Linked DNA regions of Lytechinus pictus. The protein of the gene in region 1 interacts with the protein of each later gene in a pairwise test. Links are inferred from orthologs where the notes say so. Each region holds a gene or a part of one and is shown on either strand. Other genes may lie near its edges.

Region 1 (12,082 bases):
ATCAGGATAGCCAATAGGCATTATTTTATTAATAAAATGTCATCGATTGTCACCAAAAAATGACCGTGCAAGGGTAAAATCCTTTTCGTTCAGCATTCATTTCACTTTGTTTGGAAATTAACTCCCATGTTTCCTGGAGGAGAGGCTAGACTTGAAGTGAACATTTTGTTTGGAGGTCATCAGTTCCATCTGAGACAAAAACAACAGTTTTTTTGAAGAACATAATCCCATTCGGGTGCAATGTAATCCAGTTTTCTTCCACTCAACTTGCTACTTTAATACAAGAAAACATAAACATGGGACATGGTCCAAAGAAAAGAAAAGAAAAAAAGTATATAAAACGTTAGAATGTAGCCCCCCCCTCTCTCTTGCCACCATGTTTTCTTAAATTTTTTTAAAATGCTTGAGTCGTTTGTAAAAGAACTTTTTCGAAGGTTGCCACAAAGTGATAAAACTACATGTGTATGTATGTAGATTCGAGGTGTAATGGTCTTGTAATTTTAAAGTTGTTTATTGTGAAGTACATGAAATAATGCGAAAATTAGTATAGTAAGGTAAAGAAAAAATATTTGCAACCAAATCTAAGTATAATATGTAGGTGAATGGACGAAATGGCAATAAGACCATGTGGATAGGAAATGGCAATAAGACCATGTGGATAGTGGACGAACTGATGGTAGACCAAATGATTATAGACTAGATAGATGGTAATTGGACAAATTGGCATTAGACCAGTTGAAAATAAACCATTTATTACAATGTATTGGCCTACAAAATCCAACAGGCGAGCCGCAAGCTTTTCACTTTTCCACAAATTCCAGCCAGCCCCCTCTCCTGGCCCTCTCTCTGCTGTGCCTATGGGGTTTGAATCATTACAATTATTGTCGAAACAGACCCATTCACAAACTGGTATGAAGCCCGGCCTACACACTTGCACACTAGCCGTTACATAACTGAGTATATAGTGGAGAACGGTGGCCTCGACCCTTTGATCTAGCCAAAAGGGCAGTCTTCAATGCACATTCCTGTTTGAGTAAATAAAATAAAGAGAATTTGCTCTTCTGTCAGATTTGTAATTTAAAGTGAAAACTTTCTGAATTCTCTGCCTCTTTGCTCAATAATGTAACTAAACTAACTAACTTTCAAGAATATTACTTTTCTCCACCTCGAATTACTCACTGTCTTGCCAATATCATTCATATAAATTGTACACTTTCAATTTTTTTTTAAATACATGTTCATTTCTCGTTTTTAGTACAGCTTTTCTGTACATTTCTATTTTAACTGTTGAAATGAGCTGGCTATAGGCAAATTGGGGACTCAACCGAATTTGCCTTGTTTTTTACCATAGTGTTTCACCCACCTCCCTCAAAACGTCAACAACTTTTTTTTTATAAGAAGAACCCCTCCCTCTTGTGTTTGCGGAGAAGATGACCAAGCAGTCTTATGGAATGTGATGTCAGAGAATGAGGTGTCTTGCATCTTTTGTTCTGTAGACCCCTTTCACAATCTGCCTCTCTGTTCGTCCCATTCATTCGCCCTGAATTCCCCTTGTCTGCTATTCACTCTGCCATTCAGGGGTGCACTATAGCCCCTCTTTCAGACCACCTCTGCCCCCCTTTATAACGGTTTGTAATAATTGTAGGACTGGGTTTGTTAGGTCTGCTGGCATTGGATATTACAGTCATTGGCTCTCGGACCACAGCCCACTTTCAGTCCACTTCTGTAACTCTTCCCCCCTTTAATATAATGGTTTGTACTCAGTAGTTCAGGGCCTCTTTGCATAAAAGTTACTATTATCGTAACTTTGCAATCCTATGGTAACTACCATGGTAACAACGATCAACAGCCAATCAAAATCAAAGATTTTATGAAAGATACCATTGGATGACAAAGTTACTAAAATGGTTACTTGAATGCAACAAGACCCTTTGCCAGTTGCATCCATACTTTACACTGGCTCTCGGACCTCGGCCCACTTTCAGTCCACTTCTGTCATTCTGTACTCCTTTGCTTTATAAAAGTTTGTAGATCCGCTACCTGCAGTTGGATACATATTGAAGTGGCACTTGGACCATGGCCACTTTTTAGACCAGATCTAGTAATGGTTCGTATCTTCGTATATCTGTTGCTAGCCAACTTAAAATAATAAGCCAAGCATATACAGTGAATCTTGCTACATATGTTTTTGACTCACCTGCATAGCAGAGCGAGACTGTAGGCGTTGTTTTCTGACGGCGGCAGCAACGGAGTCAAGATTGAAATTTTAACCAAGGTTAAACTAAGTTTTTTAAATGTCATCGTAACTGAAATTATTTGGATTATTCATGAAACTTGGAAAAGGGGTGATCTAGTGTCACTGATTATCTTACATGACTGAATTCATAAGTCATTTTAGGGTCAATGAACTTTGACCATGTGGGGGTTCAACATTGAAATCTGAACCAAAGGTCCAAGGTTAAGTTATTGAAATGTCATCACTTTATAGGGATCTAGTTCATAAAACTTGGACATAAAGAGTATTTAAGTATCACATATCATCAGCATGAGTTTTAGGTCACATGATTGAGGTCAAAGAAGGGTCAATGAACTTTGACCATGTTGGGGTATTTTTTTTGAATGTCAGAACTTCTAAAATTTATGGATCTATTTCATGAAACTTGAACATAAGGGTAATCAAGCTTCACTGATTATTATGCACAATTTTCAGGTAACATGATGAAGGCCAAATGTCATTTAAGGTCAATGAACTCTTGACCATGTCGTGGTATCAATCAAGGTTAACTTTTTTTGAAATGTTATAACTTTTAAAAACAGTGGATCTATCGTATGAAACTTGGTCATATGGACAATCAAGCATCACTGATCATTTTGCATAAATAAGTTTTACATTACATAATCAAGGTCAAAGGTCATTAGGGTCAATGAAAGATGGTGTTTTTTATAATAGAAAAATGAAAGCCTGATAAGTGACAATGAGTGTAAACAATGTAGAGGACAGTCGATTGTTGACCTAAATTATTATAAAACCTGCAAGCAAATAGTGATTTATGCTGAGTATTGTTATAAGCTACTGAAATCGTCACATCTGATTGGCTCAGAACAAATTTGTCTGTGAAAATCCCTGATTTACTTGCTCCATGAAACACTCCCTAACTCTCTGAGACTGGGTGGCAAAGGACAGTCAAGAGTTTTAGCTTCATTCTGTGCTCCAGAAACGATCATCCAAACTCGCCAAAGACATTTGATGAATCTTTCTTTCCTCATGGACAACCACGCATCACTTTCAGCAGTACACATCTTGGAGTTGCCCATCAATCCTTGTTGTTTATCTTACATTTACACCCGTTTTCCATTCCTTGCCCGAATAAGATTATGTAAGATTTGTTCTGCTGACAGCCAAGCAACTATGGAGTTAACATTAGAGGTAACACCCCCATTGATTTTTCTCAGAGAGGATTTCCCATATTGAACGGAGATCGATTCTAAGGGGCTTCTCTGAGCCCCTCCGACAATGGCCCCTGCATTCATCCGTATTTGTGTTTCCCTCTTTAATTGACACGGTAATTATTTGCTCCCTAGGCCGAGTGAGCTCTTCTGCTTGGCCATTGTAAGAGGGCCTATTATGTCCCCCTCCAGCCCCCTATCATTGAATGGCTCTCTCTGGTCGGGCGAAGGCTTGATTACAGTCATTGGTCACTCCTGATCTAGGTAGGTGGTCAGTTTGTATTGACCAGAAGTGAGAAAGTGAAATGAGTTTTCTTCCTCAGAATTCACACCTCAAAACACTCGGACCCCGTTCAGAATTGGATTCTAGAACAGATCTGTGCTTGACAGTAATGTGATTCGGGTCTTTATTAGGAAGACCACTTGTTGTTCCAGGAAACCATTCCTGTGACCCATTTCATAAAGACTAATTTCTATGTCATCAGCCAATCAAATTGAATGATTTCAGTAGCTTTAAACTGTTATTGCAAACTTGTCATTTTAACAAGTTTTATGAAACAGGCCCCTGGAATGCTTTACCTTGTTGCCTGTTTCATGATGTAATATGGCCAGAAACCATTTCTGGGGCTGCATTGCATAAGATGTTGCTATTACGGCAACTTTTTTAATCGCCATCCAATGTTAACTGGCATGGGATCCCTGATTTTAATTCACTATTCAGTCTTGTTACCATAGCTGTAGTTACCATTGGATTGCAAAATTTTAGCCCATATTAATGTTTAGAGTTTTTAAACTGCATGAAAGGGTTCTGTTTAATAGTCAGGCGGATCCGGATTTTCCAAGGGGGGGGGGCACATTTTTCTGAGGAAAATTTGACAAGCAAAAAAAAAAGATAAAAAAGGTCTTCACTTGTGTATGAAAGACATTCCTGTTAAAAAATATATTCTGTGACTTTTAAAGGGGGGCCCCTTTCACACCTGTGTGAAAACTGAAAACAACATATTTACAATAATTTTTTTTATTATGACCCTCAAAAGAGGGGGGGGGGGGGCACGGCCAGATGTGGCCCCCCTGGATCCGCCACTACAGATGGTGATAGTGATGAAGATACATCTGAATATAAACCTTTTAGCCAGGACCTCAGATAGTATTAAGCCTTATTTTTGTAGACCAGCTCATTACATAGATGGGGGAACAGGTTGTGAAAGTTTGTGTAAATTTTGATCAAGGAAGCATCTCACAAAGTCGTCTAATGATTGTCACGTCTTTGCAAAATTCCCTTACATTTAAAACCAAAAGAAATGTATCTTTCTCCATTTTTATTCATATTACAACTCTATTCATATTTACTACGGATATGTTTCTGTGATGCATGATGTATCTCATGTGGAGAATCAATTTCTGTTTGACTCACAAACGAGATGAAGATACAATTCAGATCAGAGAAGACCTTACAATGTAGGCCTAGACCTCACCTCTTTTTTACCAGTGTTTACCACTTTTGATTATTATTATCAAGGATATATTATTTTATTGGTTTTATTTAGGATATTTCAGATGTCAAAACCTGTTTTAATGCAATCAATCATAGAAATGAAGGTATGACCAATCAATTAGCTTCAAACTACCAGGGTGATCTTATTGCTTTAACTTTCACCACCAGACCTCAATTGTACACTTGTGAACCTGTTGTTTAAAACCATGCACCAACATGGGTTGACAGTCTCTTGGAATAGTGCATAATTGCTTGGTGTATAATTCTATTCCATTTTGATGTAGTCCTACGACTGCAGACTCCACAAGGAGTGTGGGTGCCCTTGACCCATTCCTGGACTAAGGATTACATTAGATAGTCCAGGACCTTGGCCCCTGTGGGTCACTTGGTTCATTCATTGGAGGGTTGATTTGTGGGCTTCACCGGGGAGGTCCGGGACCTTGGATGTCAACTCCCCTATCCTCACTCTCAGTTTTGATGAACTTGATGGCTTGCAGTGCTTGAAAATACCAGTTGTTATACTAGTTGTTGTTTAGGTGTAATGACTTTTATCGCTCAGGATTATTATTTATGCCGAATGGTTGTGTTATTATCATTATTAGAATGTCCATTTTGATTTGATGGATGTTAGTGGAGTTTGGTCTTTGAAACTGACTTCAGAGGTTTCTGTTTTTCTCGATTCATATTATTTAATTATCTATTCAAATTTGTTTATTTAAGCCTGTCTTATCATTTATGTTTTGTTTATTCATTAAGTTTTATTATATATAGATTTTGTTTATTGTTATTTATTTATTCATTTTTTTTGGGGGGAGGGGGTAGTTTCAATTTTTTCAATCACCAGCAAAATTTAATTCCTATCTTCTGGGTATATTTATTAATAAATGGGGGGGGGGATGGTTGACATAGTGTTCATGAAGTGTTGTATAAATTACTTTGGAGTCTCACCTTTTTCCTATGTTTTATAGACCGATCAATTCCAAATGATTATAGGGTATGAATGTTATGGTAGAAAATATATTGTATTGTAACTTTGGATCATGTGCATTGTTTTTCATTAAATTTTTCTCTCTTTTTTCATTTGTGCAGTTGGAGGGAGGTTAGAGCAGGAATTGGAGTACACAGAAGCAACGTTGGGAGCGGGCTGGGGTGCAACAAGCCAAATAATCGTGCAAACGCCAAAGAAAGATGGGGAAAACATCCTTACACAATCGGCCTTACTGCAACATGTCAGGTCGGCCGTTCTTGCGACGCAAGTTGAAGTCGACATGTACGGAGTGTAAGTAGCACATTTTGTTATTTGTTGGTCCTTAGAACGAAAGTTAAGGTTTAAATCGATAGGACCTATATTCTGTAGGCCTAGCTTATGGAAAATGCATTCAAGTTATTATTTTGATTTGTGATATTCACTTTCATTTTCATTCTTTCATTTATTATTTGATTCATTCATCCATTCATCCATCTATTCATTTATCTATCCATCCCATTCATCCATTCCTGAAAATTGTATAGCCTACGTGTAGATGTTCCTGTGTGTTTTGGTGACACTTGCAGCATCAAAGCCTATAGGCTATGTTCTGAAATTCTGAAATTTTACAATTTTGTGTGAAGAATCATTAGATAATTTTACATGCCATGTAACTGACAATCGCATGAATTGTAATAAGAAAAAAGTCTGTGATAATGCCTAATGGACTAAGTTTTGATGTTTGACCCCCAAGGCCCCCCCCCCCCCATCGCCCCCTCCTTCAGCACACCCACCTACTTCCTACCCACATCCTCACCATACCGGAGCAAGACAGGGGTAATAGAGTCGCCCCATGGTAAATAGCTGGCTGGGTTAGACGGGCACTTTGATCCTTGTGGTGGCCCAACCAACAGGCAGGCACTAACTCAATTACGGTGGATGAAATTCTCTAGGATTGTACCCCACTAATAGAACCAAGACTAGTCAAATACTTTTGCGGAGTGGTTATGATATCACATGCCTGTATTTACAGAGGTCATTTTGATGTTGGTTTGTGCAATTGTGCTCCATATTTATGCAATGTATAGGCCTACATGTTTAGTAGGTGCTCCCTCACCCATGATACAAAAAATGATGTTATCCATGTAGTTAGAAACCCATTAAAGATTGAAGATAAGTTATTTGGATGTGATGAAATCAACAATGTAGAATAAGTTTTTGAAACTTTTGAGTACATTAGCTGATGGTAAATTTCTTGAATTAAAAAGAGTGAAATACATGTAACTGTTTAAATCAATCATGAAAAGTACTCACAGTTTTATAATGTTTACTGTTTTAAGTTAACATAAACCTAATAGTACCAAGTAATATAATTCAACTGCAAACTTTATTTTGATGTGAAGTCATGAAAGTGAAATGAAGTAATGATAATAACAAAAATACTTGTATTTAAGAGACGCCAGTCACATTTGTATCATAGCCTTTGCAAAAAGTTACATTGAATGCAGTAGAAGATAATATTAACATAATAATAAAACCATGCAACGAAAATACATCAATCATGCATCTAAGAAATTTGTCACTCGTGCTTAGTGCCCCTCAGACTCTTGGCTCTTGATGTCAGGCTGCTGGAGTTGTGGTCAATCCAATCAACACCTTCCAAGGGAAGAACTGCTTGGAATTGTTTGGGGGCAAGCATAGATCATGATAGATGATAATGCTAATGTGATGTTCCAGATGGGTGTCATATTGAAGGAGTCGGTGACGTCCAGTATCACGTTTCAAAACAGAGAACACCCAGAATGCTACTCGTGTTCCATCACTGATGCCATCAGTTATCTCTTTTCCTTTCTCTTGCTCTCTCTCTATGACACTGTTCTCACTACCTTACTACAACTAGTTTACTGGAAACTAGTTTAACGTGTAATGAGAACGGTCGAAGCGATCTTCCAAACCGGTTCATAAAACCATCTCGCGATGTAGATTTCAAGATTGCTTTGCCTCGTTAAGCTGGTTTTAGCGTAAGTGAGGATGCAAGCGTTCTTCTGGTAGCGATCTTTGCACATTTTGAGCGCGCTACTCATGACAGGTGTAGAATGCCTATGCTGCGGTTTCGAATTTCGCGCGAAACATGTCACCCCACTGAGAGCGTTTCCATATCAACAAGATCGCTTTATGTGAAGTGATTTTGAAAACCGCTTTTGGGTGATCAAATGGGAACGCTAGCAAAGCGATCTTCCAAACTGGTTTCCCAAACCGGTTTCCAGTAAACTAGATTTAGAAAGCGGAATGGGAACGGTGTCTTTTTCTAACTCCCTATAAAGATCTTTCTAATTACTATTGCCATTTCTTTCTCTCTCTCTCTCTCTCTGAAGCCCCTCTTACAATAGGTGGTGCAACTGCTTACAACCGGTGCTATTGTTTGCATCATATATCATGACCAAATGATCGCAAGAGCAATTGTGAAAGCCCCTACTCTCCTGCTCTTACTCTCTATTTTCTTTCTCTTTCTCTAGCTTTCACTTTCTCATGCTCTCAAGTTTGGGATTGAATTTATTTAAATTGATTGGGTAGCTCTGAAATATTATCTGAAGACCACCAATACAACACCCTGTTCACATTCGAGCACTATTGCCAAAAAAAAAGTATTGTGCATTTTCATTTAATTGCAATGTTTCTCTTCTTTCTTTTGTTTTATTTGCAGTACATGGAGTTTTAAAGATGTATGTTTCATAACAGAGTATCCTAGCTTTGAAGACCATTTAATAGATAGTGTGAGTATTTGATTACAATATTCTAGAAATATGATATAATTTTTTTTTATCATGAATTTCGAAGAATTGTTCTCAAATTTATTTAAAGAAATATCAATCTTGCTTCATTAAATTTGCTTTGGTCACTCTTCATTTGCAGTGATTACAAAAGTTTTTATCTCAGGCAATTAGGGTTTACATGGAGACAAGACTGCATTATATTGTTGAATTGATATCTCTGGATTCTGTTGCATTGAAATAAAAAAACAAAAACTATTGATAGCAGGGCTGGATCCATATCACAAAACTAAGCATTGATTTATGTATTTACTGTTTGACCACATCCTGCACACCCTATGTCAGCGAACTTTGAAATTTAACCTTACTAGGTGATCTGTCAATCGACAGATCAACTATTAATTTCGTACGAATTTTCTTTTTTATTTCTTTCTTTATTTATTTATTATTTATTTTTATTTTTCCGCCCTTTTCTTGTTGCCATAAAATCTCAAAATCTACATCATCAATTATCTTCAAAATATCATCAGATATGGGGACTTATCCTGTCATCTGTATGAAACCAGTTCAAGGTCAAAAGGTCATCGTGACGCCATTTTGTAAATTCACATTATCAATCATATCTTCATTATCAATTATCAAAAATTAACTATATTTTTATAATATTCTTTATAGCCTACGTACAACCACAACATTGTACGATCCTTTAATGTTCCGCCTCTTATTTTATGTATTTCAAATGTTCTTTTTTTGGTATCTACAGATTATAGAGAACATTATTCCTTGTACAATAATCACGCCATTGGACTGCTTCTGGGAAGGAGCCAAGCTACTTGGGCCTGAAAGGCCTATTCAAATACCGTAAGTACCTCCTATATTATTTTTGTGGGTGCCTCCTATATTACATTATACTCGTTGGTGCATCATGGTCTAATGGTTCTGACTCTCCCCTTTGAAACAGAGGGTCGCGTGGGTTCGAATCCTAGCCATGGCATGTTTTCTTTCAGCCAGAAATTTATCCACACTGTGCTGCACTCGACCCAGGTGAGATGAATGGGTACCCGGCAGGACTAATTCCTTGCATGCACTGAGCGCCGGTGATGGTAGCTCGAGCTAAAGCCGGGGTAATAATAGCAGCGCTTTGTATCCTCAGGCTAAAAGCGCTTTATAAATCCAGCTATTTTTATTATTATTATTACAAGAAAATGAATAAATGTATGATCATATAAATAACTTTTTAAAGTCATGTAATATGCAGAGGTGGTATGGCTCAGTGGATACGCAGCCGGACTATGAATCGCATTGTTCAGGGTTCAAATCCCATTTTAGCCCTTGCATCATTTGACAAGGTGTGTTTCAAAATTTCCCACTCTGATGTTTCCCCTTTATTTGACTGATTTTGTTGTTTGGCCTATTATCATCATGTACAGTTGTGCTCCAAAGTTAGTGAACCCCACCACAAAATGCACTCCTTCATGCCGAGTGTTGAATGCCGACAACAACACTACAATGTTCAGCGAGCCAAGAGAAACAAACTTCATTAGATGTAATATTTTATCACCTGACTTCAAAACCCACGATTAAATATCTAAAACATGGCCGAGGTGGGGTTCACTAACTTTTGAGCACCACTGCATATATGTCTCGATACGTTTCCCTATTTGTTTTGTGAACTTGGATGATACAGTAAGCAAAGTTTGTGATAAAACTGTCATTTGCCTTAGTGCCCTTATCCACGTTAAATTTTTGTGTGAAGGGTTTATTATTGCATTGGAAATGTTCCAGGGCCCCGTCTTACAATCAATCGTAACTCTATGGAAATCCATCAGTGTCATAATTTCTTCTACAGAAAATTTGTAAAATGTCCCTTGTAAACAAAGGAGAACACACCAAATTGTCAAGAAATCAATGAATTTATGGATATACATTCATATCTAGAATTTTTTTTGAACAAACATGCATTTTAAATGTTGACCTTGCTGGCTTCCCATAGTTGCGATTGATCAGATCAATCGCAACTCTTCGTAAGACAGGCCCCTGGTATAGTTAAGACAATATTTTGATTTTGTGGGTAACAACAGGTTAAAGGCCAGAGGTTATTCAGGACCCCCTGAGAGCTGCCAGTTTTTCCACTAAACATGGCCAAAGAAATGCAGCTTGTGCAAGAGAGTCCTTTCCAAATCCCCTATGCCCTTAATAGAGAGAGCATACTGCATATTAGCTAAAAGAAGCAATAGCTTGTTGGAAATTTGGGTTTTTCCCTCTTTCCTATTTTTGTTTTCTTATTAAATTTTTTGTTGGGTGTGGTTGAGATATTCAAAATGAATGAAAAGTATTTTTTAAAGAAATTTTGGGATGTTACTTGTGGTCATTAAATTGGCAATGCAATGTATAGTTTATGGAGAGGCTTAGCAAAATAAGAAAGTATTTATAAGGTCATACATATATACAGAACCTATGAGATGTAAGGGGTGAGGTAAAGCCAACCTGGAAAAGTCCCCCTGGAAAAGCTAAATTTTAATTTCTTAGACTTGGTCTAGATTGTACTGTGTTTGTAAATGTGCTTACCAGAATACATAGGGCCTATGTAATGTTATCAATACAAGGTAAAAAAACATTAACAAAAAAAAAACACATTAAGCTCGACTGTCTTGAAAGATAAAATCGTTGGCACGCAATTATTCGCTTTTCATATGTACTGAGAATTAAAAAAACAGATTGCCCTTTTTTAAATTTCTTTTCTTTGCAGAGTTTGGGAGTTGCCAAAGTCAATTTACTTCTTCGATTTTTCATAGAATGAAAGGACTTTGTGCACCTGTTGAGTTCTTTATAGCTCAGGTTCTTGTTAAGTAGGCAAAAAAAAGGAGAAATCATGTGGATCCAATTGGTGGTCATTCACCCTGTCACATTGTCACATGTTCCTGGAATTCGACCCGTTTTTCAGATAATAAACAGAGAAATTCCACACGGATGCGCATTGTTCGATGGTGTTCTCGCTGTTTAGATCGTGTTCAGTTCATTTCACATTGAAGTTTATACTTGCATTGTAGTTTATACTGACATCGTGATTCCTAAATAGTAAACAAAGTTTCAATTTTGGCAGAAGTTCATTAGTGTTTCACCTTGTTTGATGGGGATTTTAATTCCTAATTTTGATTCATTTCATCTCGTATATGATTTGTTGTATGTTAGTTACATTTTATCATATTTGAGTCATAAATTATTCTTATCTGAGTTATATTTATCTTGTTTGAGTAACATTTAATCTCAAATCTATTAAAATTCATCTATTGATGATAACAGTTTTTGTTTTTGAATAATGTAACTGTTTTTTTTATACATAATTATGCTGCAATGAATGAGTGAAACTGAGTGAATTGTATTATAAAACTCTCCTTACTA
Region 2 (12,375 bases), on another chromosome or scaffold:
TGTAGTTAACACTTTCTTAGAAATGTAAGACAGGAATTATTAAATTATTATTATTATTCAGTTACATTCTATAATTTTGAAAATAAGGTTTTACTATCCATACAAGATCTTGAGGCTATTCAACATGTTTATTTAGCCAAAAAAAATATAAAACTACAAATTTCTTCACTAACGATCTGGTGGATGATACATGCCACAAAAATGATGCATATTTTCAAGCGAAATTAATAATCAAACTATAAAGAAATGGCGAGATCCTGAAATCTTCAAAATGATAATACCAGATATATGTGTTTGAACAAACATTCGCTTGCCAATCCTGGAAGCCTCTAAAACAGAGACCAAGGGCTATATCCTAACGGGGAATTCCAGAACTTCATAATGTTTTAAAAACATATTTTAACAAAGAATATGGCCACACATAATTCAACGGATATCAGTTTACCTTCCCTATCCTGTCCTGTAAAATCAAGAATTAGAGAAAAAAAATATCACAGGACAGGCAGACAAGCAGACAACAATTATATCAATTTTAACAGGAACAAAATACTATGTGATTTTATGAATTTTTCTGAGGGTAAGGAAGGTTCTTAATTTGTTTTAAAAAGAGATAAACCAACCTGTTTTCAGAGCATCTTCCCTCTCATCATCATCAGCCGGCTGCTTGATCTTCCATTTTGTTTCTGGCAGAGCTTCATAATCCTCCATAGAGGTCATCCTCAGCATATTCATCTTGGGTCCAATGTACTGAGGAATGTAGCAGGATTTATTCTGGGTGAACATGTTCTGAAGGATACCAGTCGTGTCCACTTCTTCTTTCTTCATGGCCAGGTAGACTGATATCCGCTGACTTTTCTGGTAGGCAGGGTGTGACATTAGCTGCATCGAAGATCATAAGTGCAAGATGTATCAACAAAAGTAAAGTTAAATTACAATGTATTCCAGCAGTCAAAATAATAATTTAGTCTGTGGTCAACCACCAGAGTGATTAAAAGTAAATGAGCTCAGCTAGATTATACAGACCCTCTGTAGTATACTAGTATACTCACAATGATGGTGAGTTCATGGCCGAAGTAGGGGGGTTGAAATCTTACATATTTTACTTAGACTTTTCACAAAATTCACCAAAAAAGTGCACAAAATCCTTCAAACGATTTTTTTTTAAGAAAATGCCAAAGTGCCCCCCATGGCAAGCTTGGTCACTCCACATAAGGCCCACTTTCGAAAACTTTTCATATAATTCATTCTCCCTATTGCAAATGAAATCACTCTAAAATGTGTCCTTGCAGTGTTTTGCTCTCATTATTTCATAACATAGGGAAAATAACATGAAAAGTTGTACTTAGATATCAGGTAAAGTACATCTATGTAATCTTATGTATCTAATGTGGTGGGAGGGGGATTTCTTTAAAGAATGTCATTCATTGAGTCAAAAATACATGAATTTCCAAATAGTCTAGATGCTTCTTCTTCTAGTGTGAGTAGTGCTTCATCCAATCGAAACTCCTCAATACATTCTGAGGAGTGCAGGCACAGTGCTGCCTTGAATATGAGGAAAACACTACTACTAGCGACATGGAAATTGAGACTAGGGCTGAGGTTAATGGTGAAAATAGTAAATTATACTTGATTATCATCTAACATTCCAATCGTAAATGTGAAGTGATCACTGAATCTTTCTCTGGGGGTCCAGAACATTCAATGTGCAGTGTTTTAATTTAACTTTTGTCTGACATGGTGTAAAGGCTTGGTCTGATGGTAGATTTAATGGCAGCGGGGGAAGGCATAATATCAAGTTTGGCTAAAAAATCAAGCCCTTAGCATATCCCCTAGATCAACATAATGTCGAGGCAACAAATTGTTGGCACACAAGTTAGGGCACTTTTGCATCTGGCGATGAAATTTCAGTCACATGGAGCATCTTTTTCTTCTTCTTACTACTTAGAATACTTAGGGAATATGCTGAACAAAATCATTTTGACTCTGTATTCAGTTCCAAATTCCTTCTTCTTCTTCTTCTCCTTCTTCTTCCTCTTCTTCCTCAGCTGATCCCGGAGATCTACAGACGCTAACGTTGGCGAAGGACAATAAGAAACAAGATGGCGGCGTAAACATCGAGCAAGTTTCCCCGTCTTTTCATAATATTTTTCTTGTTCTTTTACTGAATTTTTGTTTAAAACTGACTGAAATCGATATCGTAGAAATGTCGGGGATCTTCATGAAAATATACCACATTTACATGATTTAGGGCTAGATCTTTTAGAAAGAAAGTAAAAATCACAGCATGCTCGGGGCGAAAGTTCCTGTTTTTTCGCAGTACACACACATGAATGGGACGCAATCCCTGGCTCCGTGGAGAGTAAGCCTACGTTAGTAAATGATTTTTACTCTCCAGGAACCTCCTGATTGATCTGATGGATCATTGTTTACTTTCAAACTGTCAACATGGATTTTCTCCAAATTGGTCCTGTATGACACAGCTCTTATGTGCAATGGAAGAAATGACACACACACTTAATGCTGGAATTCCTATTGATGTCATTTATTTAGACTTTTGTAAAGCAATTGACTCTGTTCCTCATGAGAGGCTTCTCAAGAAATTAACGTCATATGGTAGTATAGTTGGAAAATTACATGCTTGGATAAGAGCCTTTGTAACAGGAAGGGAACAGAGAGTGACTATCAACGGTGAAAGTTCTGATTGGAGTCAAGTACCTTGGTAAGCAGCGGCATTTCGCAGGGGAGCGTGTTAGGACCCATTCTCTTTGTCATCTTTATAAATGATTTACCTAATATTTTGGACAATTCTGTGTATATTTTTGCCGACGATACCAAAATCATCAATGATGTCAGCTCTGATGTTAAACAAAAGACTCTTCAAGCTGATCTTACTCATGCTGTCGAATGGAGTGAAACCTGGCAACTCAAGTTTTCAAAATGCAAGGTTCTACATATTGGAAAGACCAATTCAAGAAGTGTTTATACTATGAATGGAGATGAATTAGAACCATGTAAGCAGGAGAAAGATCTCAGTTTTATTATGGATGAAGAGCTCAATTTTCGCCAACATGTCTCAGCAGCTGTTTTGAAAGCTAACCAAATACTTCTTCTTCTTCTTCTTCTGGAAACAGTACAGTCCACCGTCTGGTGTATTGTCGTACTGGTGAAGTGCAGCGTGCAAGTGTATGTACATTATTCGATAAAAAATTGCTTACAGCGTGCAAGTAAAAGCAACCACCGTTATTAACGGAGCTGGGTCTTTTGTACCTCTTGTTTAAAGATGTGTAGAGAGGTACAATTAACTGTGCTGTTGGGGAGGGAGTTCCAAAGTCTGGAATAGTACACAGAACCTTTTCTCAAATAACCCCTGAAATATTGTTTGTATCTCTGATTCGACCTCATCTGGAATATGGGAACATTTTATGGCATGTGAGATTTAAAATGGATGCAGACAAAGTAGAGAAGGTGCAAAGGAGAGCTACTCGCATGATTCCTGGTCTCCAGAGCTTACCGTATGAGCAACGTCTAGAGAGACTAAACCTTCACTCACTGTTTTACAGAAGACGAAGAGGAGATGATTACTGTTTACAAACTGTTAAATGGAAAGTTTGGGATCTCGAGTGACACATTCTTCACACCAGTAATCCATTCATCAACTAGAGGTCACAAGTTCAAGCTTTTCACAGGACGATCTCGGCTGGAACTTAGGAGTAAATTTTTTAGTCAAAGAGTAATTTCTGACTGGAACAAAGTGCCGACAGAAGTAGTGGAAGCTAAATCAGTGGAAATGTTTAAACATCTGTTGGATAAATTTTGGTGGGGGGAAAGATTTAAAACCTCCATTTCTCAACGCACGTAAAGTCTCACAAGTTTAAACTGTCTAGATAATGGTCAACCACCGGAAGTAAAGATCGGAAAACCTACAGGAGAAGTCTTTCATTTCCTAGACAGGAATAACCGTCGTTTCTGGGGATTTATCTAACAATTTCTGACATTTTACTAATACTATCATGAGCCATCATAGTTCAGCGGAACAACCAACATTTCAGAGACTGAAGCTTTTGGTCTATTCATTTCCGTACCTGATGTGATGTGATGGTATTGATCGGCCATTTTGTTTTTAATTTTGACAGAAGGAAAACGAACGAGACGGAACTTTTCCTTTTTTAGAGGGTCCAGTTTGTGCCTCGATGTCAAGATAGCTGTGTCATGACACTCATCCTACGAACGATAGCCAATATGATAGACCTTCATCCATATAATCGAGGTAAATGCATAATTTATTTTTCCCCTTTTAATTATTTGAAGTGCTATTCCGACCCCATTTTGGAGAGTATATGTTTGAATAGTATTACACGGACGACTCTCTGGGTTAGGAGAGTCGTTGCACGTTGCCGTTGGAAAATAAATTCAGACAAACATTGACATGATAATAGTCAATACAACATGTATAATGGCATAGACGTGTCTTATATTAATTAAAGTTGACATGAATTGCAGCATCTGGGACCGAAAATTAAAATGCGTCGTCTGCTACAATCTCAGGTAAAATATTTGTCTTTTCCCTACAGAATTGAACATGATTTATCGGTTCACTAACCTTTTTTGTTATGTAAAGAGACTGCCTGACCTTCTCTGGCTCAGAAAGAGCTTTCAGTCTCTTCTTTAGCTCTTGTCGAAGAAGGTTTTTCGCTTGATGGACAGCCTCCATGACTCTAAACCGGATGTAACTCAGAAAAGTGCATGATGGGATCGTTAAAACATGTAGATGGCGCTAGACCAATGTGGTGCGAACTGAATTAACTTTGATAAATAAAAATCTGGGTGCAAATATATATATATTATATATATATATATATATATATATACCTGTTGAAACGTCTGCTACGAACTTGCTCTGCTATATGGCCTGAACAAGCGGGCTTCTCATTTTTACAGAATGTAGGCATATGTCATTCTATAAAGTTTTCTAAAAAACTTCAAATTGAGCTTTGGTGCTAAAGCTTCTCCTTCTCCCTTCACCATGTTCGCAAGCAGGCTCCTGGATTGTGCCGGGCTGAAATCATTCAACAGTATATTATTCCCACTTGACACGTCCATTTTTATTCACAAACTTTAAATGGTAGAAGTTTGACTTTCCTCGCTTTGCGAGAGAAGGGGAAACAAAAATCAGGCTTTTTGCGAAAACACAATGCTATAGCTATAGACCTATTCCTCAAAATAGAATTTTCTTACCTTTTGAATTACAATCACATGAAGGTTGGATTTTTATGAAATATAACTTTACCAACAAAAAATGATGAAGCTTCATTTGGGATATATATATACATATAGCTTTTACACAACAGATTGATTTAACGCAGTTCCGTAACTACCAAATTTTAGGGTGTACACTAAGCACAGGGGCCGCTGAACGGTTTTCAAAGTGGGGGGGCTGACCATGCTAAAAATCACAATCATATGGTCATTTTTACGTTTTTGTACACGGTTCCGCGGCCCCTGATTAGCAAATGTGGGAAAATTTGTAAAAAGTCGCCAGCGAGCCAAGTGATCGAGCCAGAAGAAAATTGGCCTTTTGAAATGAAATTCTAATTATGTGATAGATTTTTACATTAATTTCAGGAAATAACATATCATCATTGTTTTCCATTCATTTCATTTTGTTTTATTGCCTTCTTTACTTTCTTTTATTTCCCCTTGGCTGTTGAACCAAGAACCCCGCATGCAGGAATTAAGAGTCCTTAAAGGGATGGTCCGGGCTGAAAGTATTTATTGCTTAATAAATAGAGTAGAATTCACTGAGCAAAATGCTGGACATTTCATCGAAATCGGATTACAAATAACAAAGTTATTGAATTTTAAAGTTTAGCAATATTTTGTGAAAACAGTCATCATGAGTCACATCCACACTTGTTCTTTTGTATTTTATAATATGAAATTAGGTTTATTCAAATTTTTTCCTCCAAGAACTAGAAAAATTGGATTGACAACTGATTTAGTGCATTAGATATTTATTGCTGCAACTTATTTAATTATCACTCTAAAAAATGTTTACCCAATATTGGGTAAAATGGGAACATGCATGTTGGTTGGGTAAAAAGATACCCAGTATGGTGTCAATTTAACGCAATGTTGCGTTGAAATAGCCCAATATGGGGTAAAAAAAATACCCAGCAAACATGCATGTTCCCTTTCTACCTAATAGTGGGTAAAATTTTACTCAGTGTTTTTAGAGTGATATAAGGGAGACATGTTATTCACACAAGTATGAATTAATGAAAAAATTATGATTTTATGTAATAACATAAGAAAACGGAAAGTGGAGATGTGACATCATCAGCCCACCTAATGAATATTCATGACGACTGTTTTCGCAAAATATTGCTAAAATTTAAACTTCAATAACTTTATTATTTGTTATCCAATTTTGATGAAATTTTCGGCATTTTGCTCAGTAAATTCTACTTTATGTATTAAGATATAAATATTTTCAGCCCGGACCATCCCTTTGATAGAGCCATTTTAAGGTAGATGAACTAGTTTGTACGGTATAACCCTTGCCATGCATGCAGTGTAAAGCTTTATTACGGTAGGGTCATAGGCCCTATCACGTAATAAGGGGATGTGTACGTCTAGCCCTTGGGATTTTTTGTCCTGATTGCGACCTTATTGTATAAAATTTAGCAAGCTAATATAATAATACAATGTTCCTTCACTTCCCGCTTTTTTTTTCTTTTTCAAGATTTTTTTATTTCTCAACTCATTCCATACATAGGTATCACATGCACAGATACAACATAATAAAAAAAAAATAGCACACATTTCAAACAAATTCAAATAAATGGTTCATTTTGTATACAAAATATCTTTTGTTCGATGCACGTTTATCAAATTACGTTTAAAAGCAATAATTCTCTCAGTTGTTTCGATTTTTTTCCAAACCAAGCATAAATTAAATGAGTAAAAGTGGGTTTGATACATGAATAGATGACATATTTTGCAAACAACACAATGATATTGGTATAAGATGAAAGTTATTGAGGGTTATAACTCCAAAAATGTCAATGTCACTGAAATATGTACTTCTAATATGCTTGGCCTTCAACCACTCGTGAACTTCGTACCAAAATGAAATTACATATTCACATCTAAGAAATAGATGAACAATTGTTTGAACGTGGTTTTCACAGAAATTACATAAAGGAGAATCTTTTACTCCAATTTTAAATAAAAAATCTTGTATTGAAATTCTTCTGTAAATAAATTTAAATTGGAAGTTTTTAATTTCCCGATGAAATCCACCAGTTGGGGAGCCCGCCAATTGTGATTTTTTGCATGGTCAGCCCATCCCCCATCCCCCCCCCCCCCCCCACTTTGCTGCCCCCGGGGCTGCCCCGGGCCCCTGATGCGGGCCCTGATGCATGCCCTGCATGCCCGTTGATAGATCCGGTATACGGATCCATATCCGTATGAATCCTATCTGGAGAAGTGAAATTTGTCAATATATACATATTTAATTGGCTTATTAAGACAGTTTTTTGAACAATTGTCCTAGTTGATAAAGTCACTCTTACGTATACATGTGGAAATCTACAAAAGTTTTACAGTTTGTATGAATCATCGTATTTCGTAATAAATTCTTCTCGCCCGGGTTAGCCTTACCTACAGACTGAAAAAGAATGAAGGAAAAACTAGAACTGATATAGGCTTATTCATGCGCTTGTGTAATAATCTTATTTCAGTTATTTAATATTTTAGTCTTATTTTTTTCTCCACGGATTCCACCGGTTTCTTTCTGTCTGGTCAATACCCCCCGCCCCCCCCCTCCAAAAAAAAATAATTCTCGCCCGATATCGTTGAGGGCGCAATTCATCGAGTTATTTATAGAATCGACGAAGGCGAGGGTGGGAACGGAAAAGTTTATTGTCAAAAATATTGACAACATACTTACCAGAAATACTATTTGTACATGGCAACAATATATGGTCTCCCCGAAATGCAGGTGAGTTCACGATGTACTGAATAAGTTGATTGATATGACTTTTTGTAGTAAAATTCAAATTTTTTTATGAGTCCTCGCCAGAAATTCCGGTAGGCCTACTCTCGTCGATTATGCTTCCCTGCCGCTGCCCCCGCCGTACCGCTCACGGGTTTAACTGCCGACCGCTCTGGCTGATATTCATGCCAAAACTGGTGTAACGTTAGGCCTAACTTTAGTTAGAGTAGACTACGCCGTGTACACTGTAGGCCCTGCGTGGAATGTTGCAGGATCAGTGTGGATGTGCATGGTATGGTGAAGATCATTTAGCAGGGTTTGCCGGCCATTCCGTGCGTTTGGGAACTGGTCAACAAATCGAATTTATATTATAAAAAATTATTTCACCACGATATGTAAAGAAACTTTGGCGATTTTGAAAGTAATTGATGCGAAAGGCTTTGTAGTTTGTTTACGATGTGAAGCTCCTCACACAACTGGTTCCCTCTTTCCTCATGCAATATTTATGATCGGGCTCAGATTGCCATGGGTGGACAAGTTTCAAGACCACTCTGCCACTTTCACAATGTTGACCAAAAAATTATTACAAAATCGATTCATTAAATAAATCACAAGATATACCGGTAGGCTATATATTATGGGGATGAATCACTTTAAACTCTGTATAATCATATTGAATGAATTTCTGATCGCGTTAAGAGGGGGCATCTGTGTCCTTTGGACACGTCAAATTTCTAGTCCTTCCTAAATCTCTTATAGATTTTATGTTAGATAATTCTTGATAAACCTCCATATTTTTTTTTTCAATTTAGTGGAGGCTGGAGGGGACATATGAAACTGGAAGTCTTGCCCAATAGTCTAAGGGTTAAAGTGAAAAAGGGCAGCAGTTTCAGAACTTCTAGATCTAGATCCAATTGATTTTTGTTAGGCTTAGACTAGACTTTAACTTTATCTAGATCTAGGCCTAGATCTACATGTAGTTTAGACTGAGGCTGAGACCACTCAAGGTTCCAACTCAGGTGTCGTGCACAGGAAAGTGCAAGGCATAACACCCGTGAAACTTCCATGGAATATTTTATTATGTAGACATTAGTCAGATTAGACATCCCTAGTGAAATAATTTTTTGCTATGCCGCCCTCTATATGCATCTTGTAGCTTAGTTACTAACAGAGATAAGATGTGAAAAAATTCCCATTTCTACCACATATATACTGTAGTTTAAAGTCGAGTAGGGGGTGCTTGATATAAAATCATTTTCATTAAAATGAAACATGATCACAGAAACTATTCAATATATTATTTATTTCTTCATTACTTCCACTAATCTTGAATCTATAATTTGTTCTTTCTGTCTGTTTTTCCTTTTTTTTTTCTCTAGATCTATTCCCTTTTTTCTTTTCTTTTTTGTTTGTTTAAGGCCTATCTTTTTATTCTTTTGCATTTATTTTTATTTTCATTTTCTCTTTTATTTTGAGGGCTTTTTATTCTACTTTCTCTTCTCAATAGTTTTTTCTCTTCTATATATCCGTTTTTTTCTTTGTTATTGTTCTCCTTATTCTTTCGTTTCTTCTTTTCATCTGTTTCAATTGTTTTTTTTTTTCTCTTTCTCTATTTTTTTTTTTTTAGATCTCCTTGCTGTAGAAGTTTATTTTGAAGACAAAGAATTGACTGTTTTTATTTCCTTTGACTTTACGATTTGTTTTTTCTCACCACTTTATTTGCCTCCTTTATCTATCTCATGCTTAACATTAATATCTGATTACTTCTCATTCCTTTTACATCACCATCCCTTCATCTCCTGCTTTGCATTCCTTACACAATAGGCCTACTATTTGCAATGATCTTTTGTCCCTTCATGTTCATTTCATGGTTCAGTTAGCCTGCAGTTACTGTCTTTGCTGTTATGCTGAACACAAGCGATACGTCTGATGTGGCAAAGACTACAAACTATGGATGCAAAGCATCCACCGCCTATAGACACCCGTCTTGATTTGGATTTTGTTTTTTAATATTGACAATGAAATAACGCTGGTTTTTCGTACGAAAAATTCTCATGCATATGTTAAGCCATGATGTCACTTTCTTCATCCAAAATGGCGAGTACGAGTACACGTGAAAAACTTCTATGAGAAAGTTTGGATTATGGAGCTGACAAATTTGGCATGCCTAGTTAAAGTAGTTATTGATGACGGGAGGATATATTTGTCGCTTTACCAACAGGATATAGAAAAAGCGCTATCTACCAGGCAATCCCTCTGTGTTATGATTATCTTCGCAATCACGTCTTTTATGATGGAGATGTCTTAATTGTTGACACATGACCAGGAATACAGGTACCGGTTCCGGTACCACAACATGTCAAATGACAAGATCATGGGAAGTACGAATTAATAATCGTTAATTTGACAACGTCATGTCTCTCAAATATACTTGAAGACTATAGTTTAGCAAAATATTTAATCTTTTATTTTAATGGTTGTTAAAAAAAATATAAAACATTGTTTTGCAGACGTTGAGTTTATGTATCCCTATCTCCTGATTTGTTTTACCCCCATTAAGTAATGGACGAGCAGAATCTTTTTCTTTGCAACTTCATGTATCTGATGGTTGAACGTAACTTTGGTAAGCCATATTAGGCGTGGTTGTGGAATTATCCATAAATTCGTCATTTTGAATAAACTTGAATATTTGTTAGGGTGTCTATAGGCAGTGGATGCTTCGCATCCACAATTCGTAGTCTTTGCCACATCAGACATATCGCTTGCGTTCAGCAGATTAGCAAAGACAATAACTGCAGCCTCCGCTTTAGATTATAGGCTATGGTTCAGTTGATTTACATTGAAAGGTTTAGCCTATATGATTATTTAGTGAAACTTACCCTTATTCATAGAAACTCATTTAAATTTGTTGTAAACTCATTTATTTTCATATAATTTCTTTTATATGCAAACTTTCTTATTTGAATATTTAATATTTACAAATTATTGTTAAACAAAGAAATAAGCCCGCAGATTGAGATATTAAGTACACCTCCGCCAGGCAGATTATCACAGGCAAGCAAAGAGTGAACATTTGTATATTATTTAACTCTGTAGGGACATACCACACCTAGGTGACCACATAACAACTACCCTGCCCACAACCTTTACAAGCAAAAAAATCACTCTTGGACTCCACCTTGATGCAGCCAGGGGGGGGGGGGGGGACAACATTTTTAATACACTTTTCTATTGTCTCCTTTAAACAAAAATGCTGGGGGATGCTGGATCTACCACTGGAGGATACCATAACACATTGTCAGAACAGATGATCCATGCATCACTGAATAGAATTTTACTGGGTCTTTTTTTTTGCATGCAGTGAGTTCCAGTAATGAAACTAGGAAAACTCTCAATTATGATAATGTAGATCAAGGAATTGTGATAGGACTCTGAGCAGCTAGCAAGTAAAAGTTGTTGTAAAATCTTACCTTTTTTTTAGGCAAAGATGGCAAGGAGTCAAGACTACATTTTTTTTTAATGAGATAAGCTTCATTCACAAAATTGGTACATTTTAACATTTAATATTAGGCGTACTACTCCTCAAGTATTCTAGTTCTAGGGAATTGTAAGTTTCTGTTGGACCTTATCATGCATACCTTTTTCATGGGGTAGTCCCGGACATGTGATGCTTGTGATGAAGAGAGTCAAAGAGAATAAAATTAGGTTGCATTATTGAGGGGACAATTGGGGTTTGTCCTTACATCCTCTTTGAATCAGAAAAATAATAGATTTTGATTTGGTTGTGTGTTCCATGACACATTGCTCATCTCTATTTTGTTTTGTGTTTGTCTTTTTTATACAGGGGGAGGCCCCTGGAACTACCCGGATCTTGAAAGTGAGAGTTATAGAAGGAAAAGACCTGGCTAAGAAGGATATATTTGGTGCAAGGTATGTTTGAATAGATTCTCATCATGCATCACGTTCCTAGGAATCCTCCAAGTACTGTTGATTAGTTAGTGGTACATGTAGATGTGTATGGTTTATGAAATAAAACATGATTTAAAATATTGTAAGCCAGTCCAGGATGGGAATGAAATATGAATGCCAGTTATACTTACATTTGTAATATTAACCCATCTGTTTATGTGGTGAGTGCTGAGAAGCATTCATCGTAAGTTATTTTAAATTTGTGAATCATCTGTGTGTGTGTGTGTGTGTGTATAATGTGCTCTAAAGAAAACTCACAAATACTATTGGTATTATACACATAATACTGTATATTATACATGTACATGTATGTACATACTACATAAATACATGGATTGTTCTAACATTTTGATGCCTCAACAAGAAATGATCTAATTTGCTCTTATATATTAAAGTATAATAGGCTACCA

Evidence for each region.
Region 2: the proteins of protein patched homolog 1-like (region 1) and E3 ubiquitin-protein ligase NEDD4-like interact in a two-hybrid assay, tested with the Drosophila melanogaster proteins (2 studies listed by BioGRID). The link is inferred for Lytechinus pictus from reciprocal best matches to the Drosophila melanogaster genes ptc and Nedd4.

What each region holds. Positions count from the first base shown.
Region 1 is NC_087255.1:6,105,500-6,117,581, forward strand, and holds the start of protein patched homolog 1-like, read left to right. Parts: upstream 1-6,031; 5' UTR 6,032-6,210; coding exon 6,211-6,221; intron 6,222-8,613; coding exon 8,614-8,683; intron 8,684-9,443; coding exon 9,444-9,541; intron 9,542-12,082. UniProt on the Drosophila melanogaster protein: Segmentation polarity protein. Acts as a receptor for the hedgehog protein (hh). Associates with the smoothened protein (SMO) to transduce the hedgehog signal leading to the activation of wingless, decapentaplegic and patched itself.
Region 2 is NC_087249.1:27,696,386-27,708,760, forward strand, and holds the start of E3 ubiquitin-protein ligase NEDD4-like, read left to right. Parts: upstream 1-7,879; 5' UTR 7,880-7,969; coding exon 7,970-8,002; intron 8,003-11,840; coding exon 11,841-11,926; intron 11,927-12,375. Other genes in the region: 5-formyltetrahydrofolate cyclo-ligase-like, read right to left, coding at 621-879, 4,601-4,711. UniProt on the Drosophila melanogaster protein: Essential E3 ubiquitin-protein ligase which accepts ubiquitin from an E2 ubiquitin-conjugating enzyme in the form of a thioester and then directly transfers the ubiquitin to targeted substrates.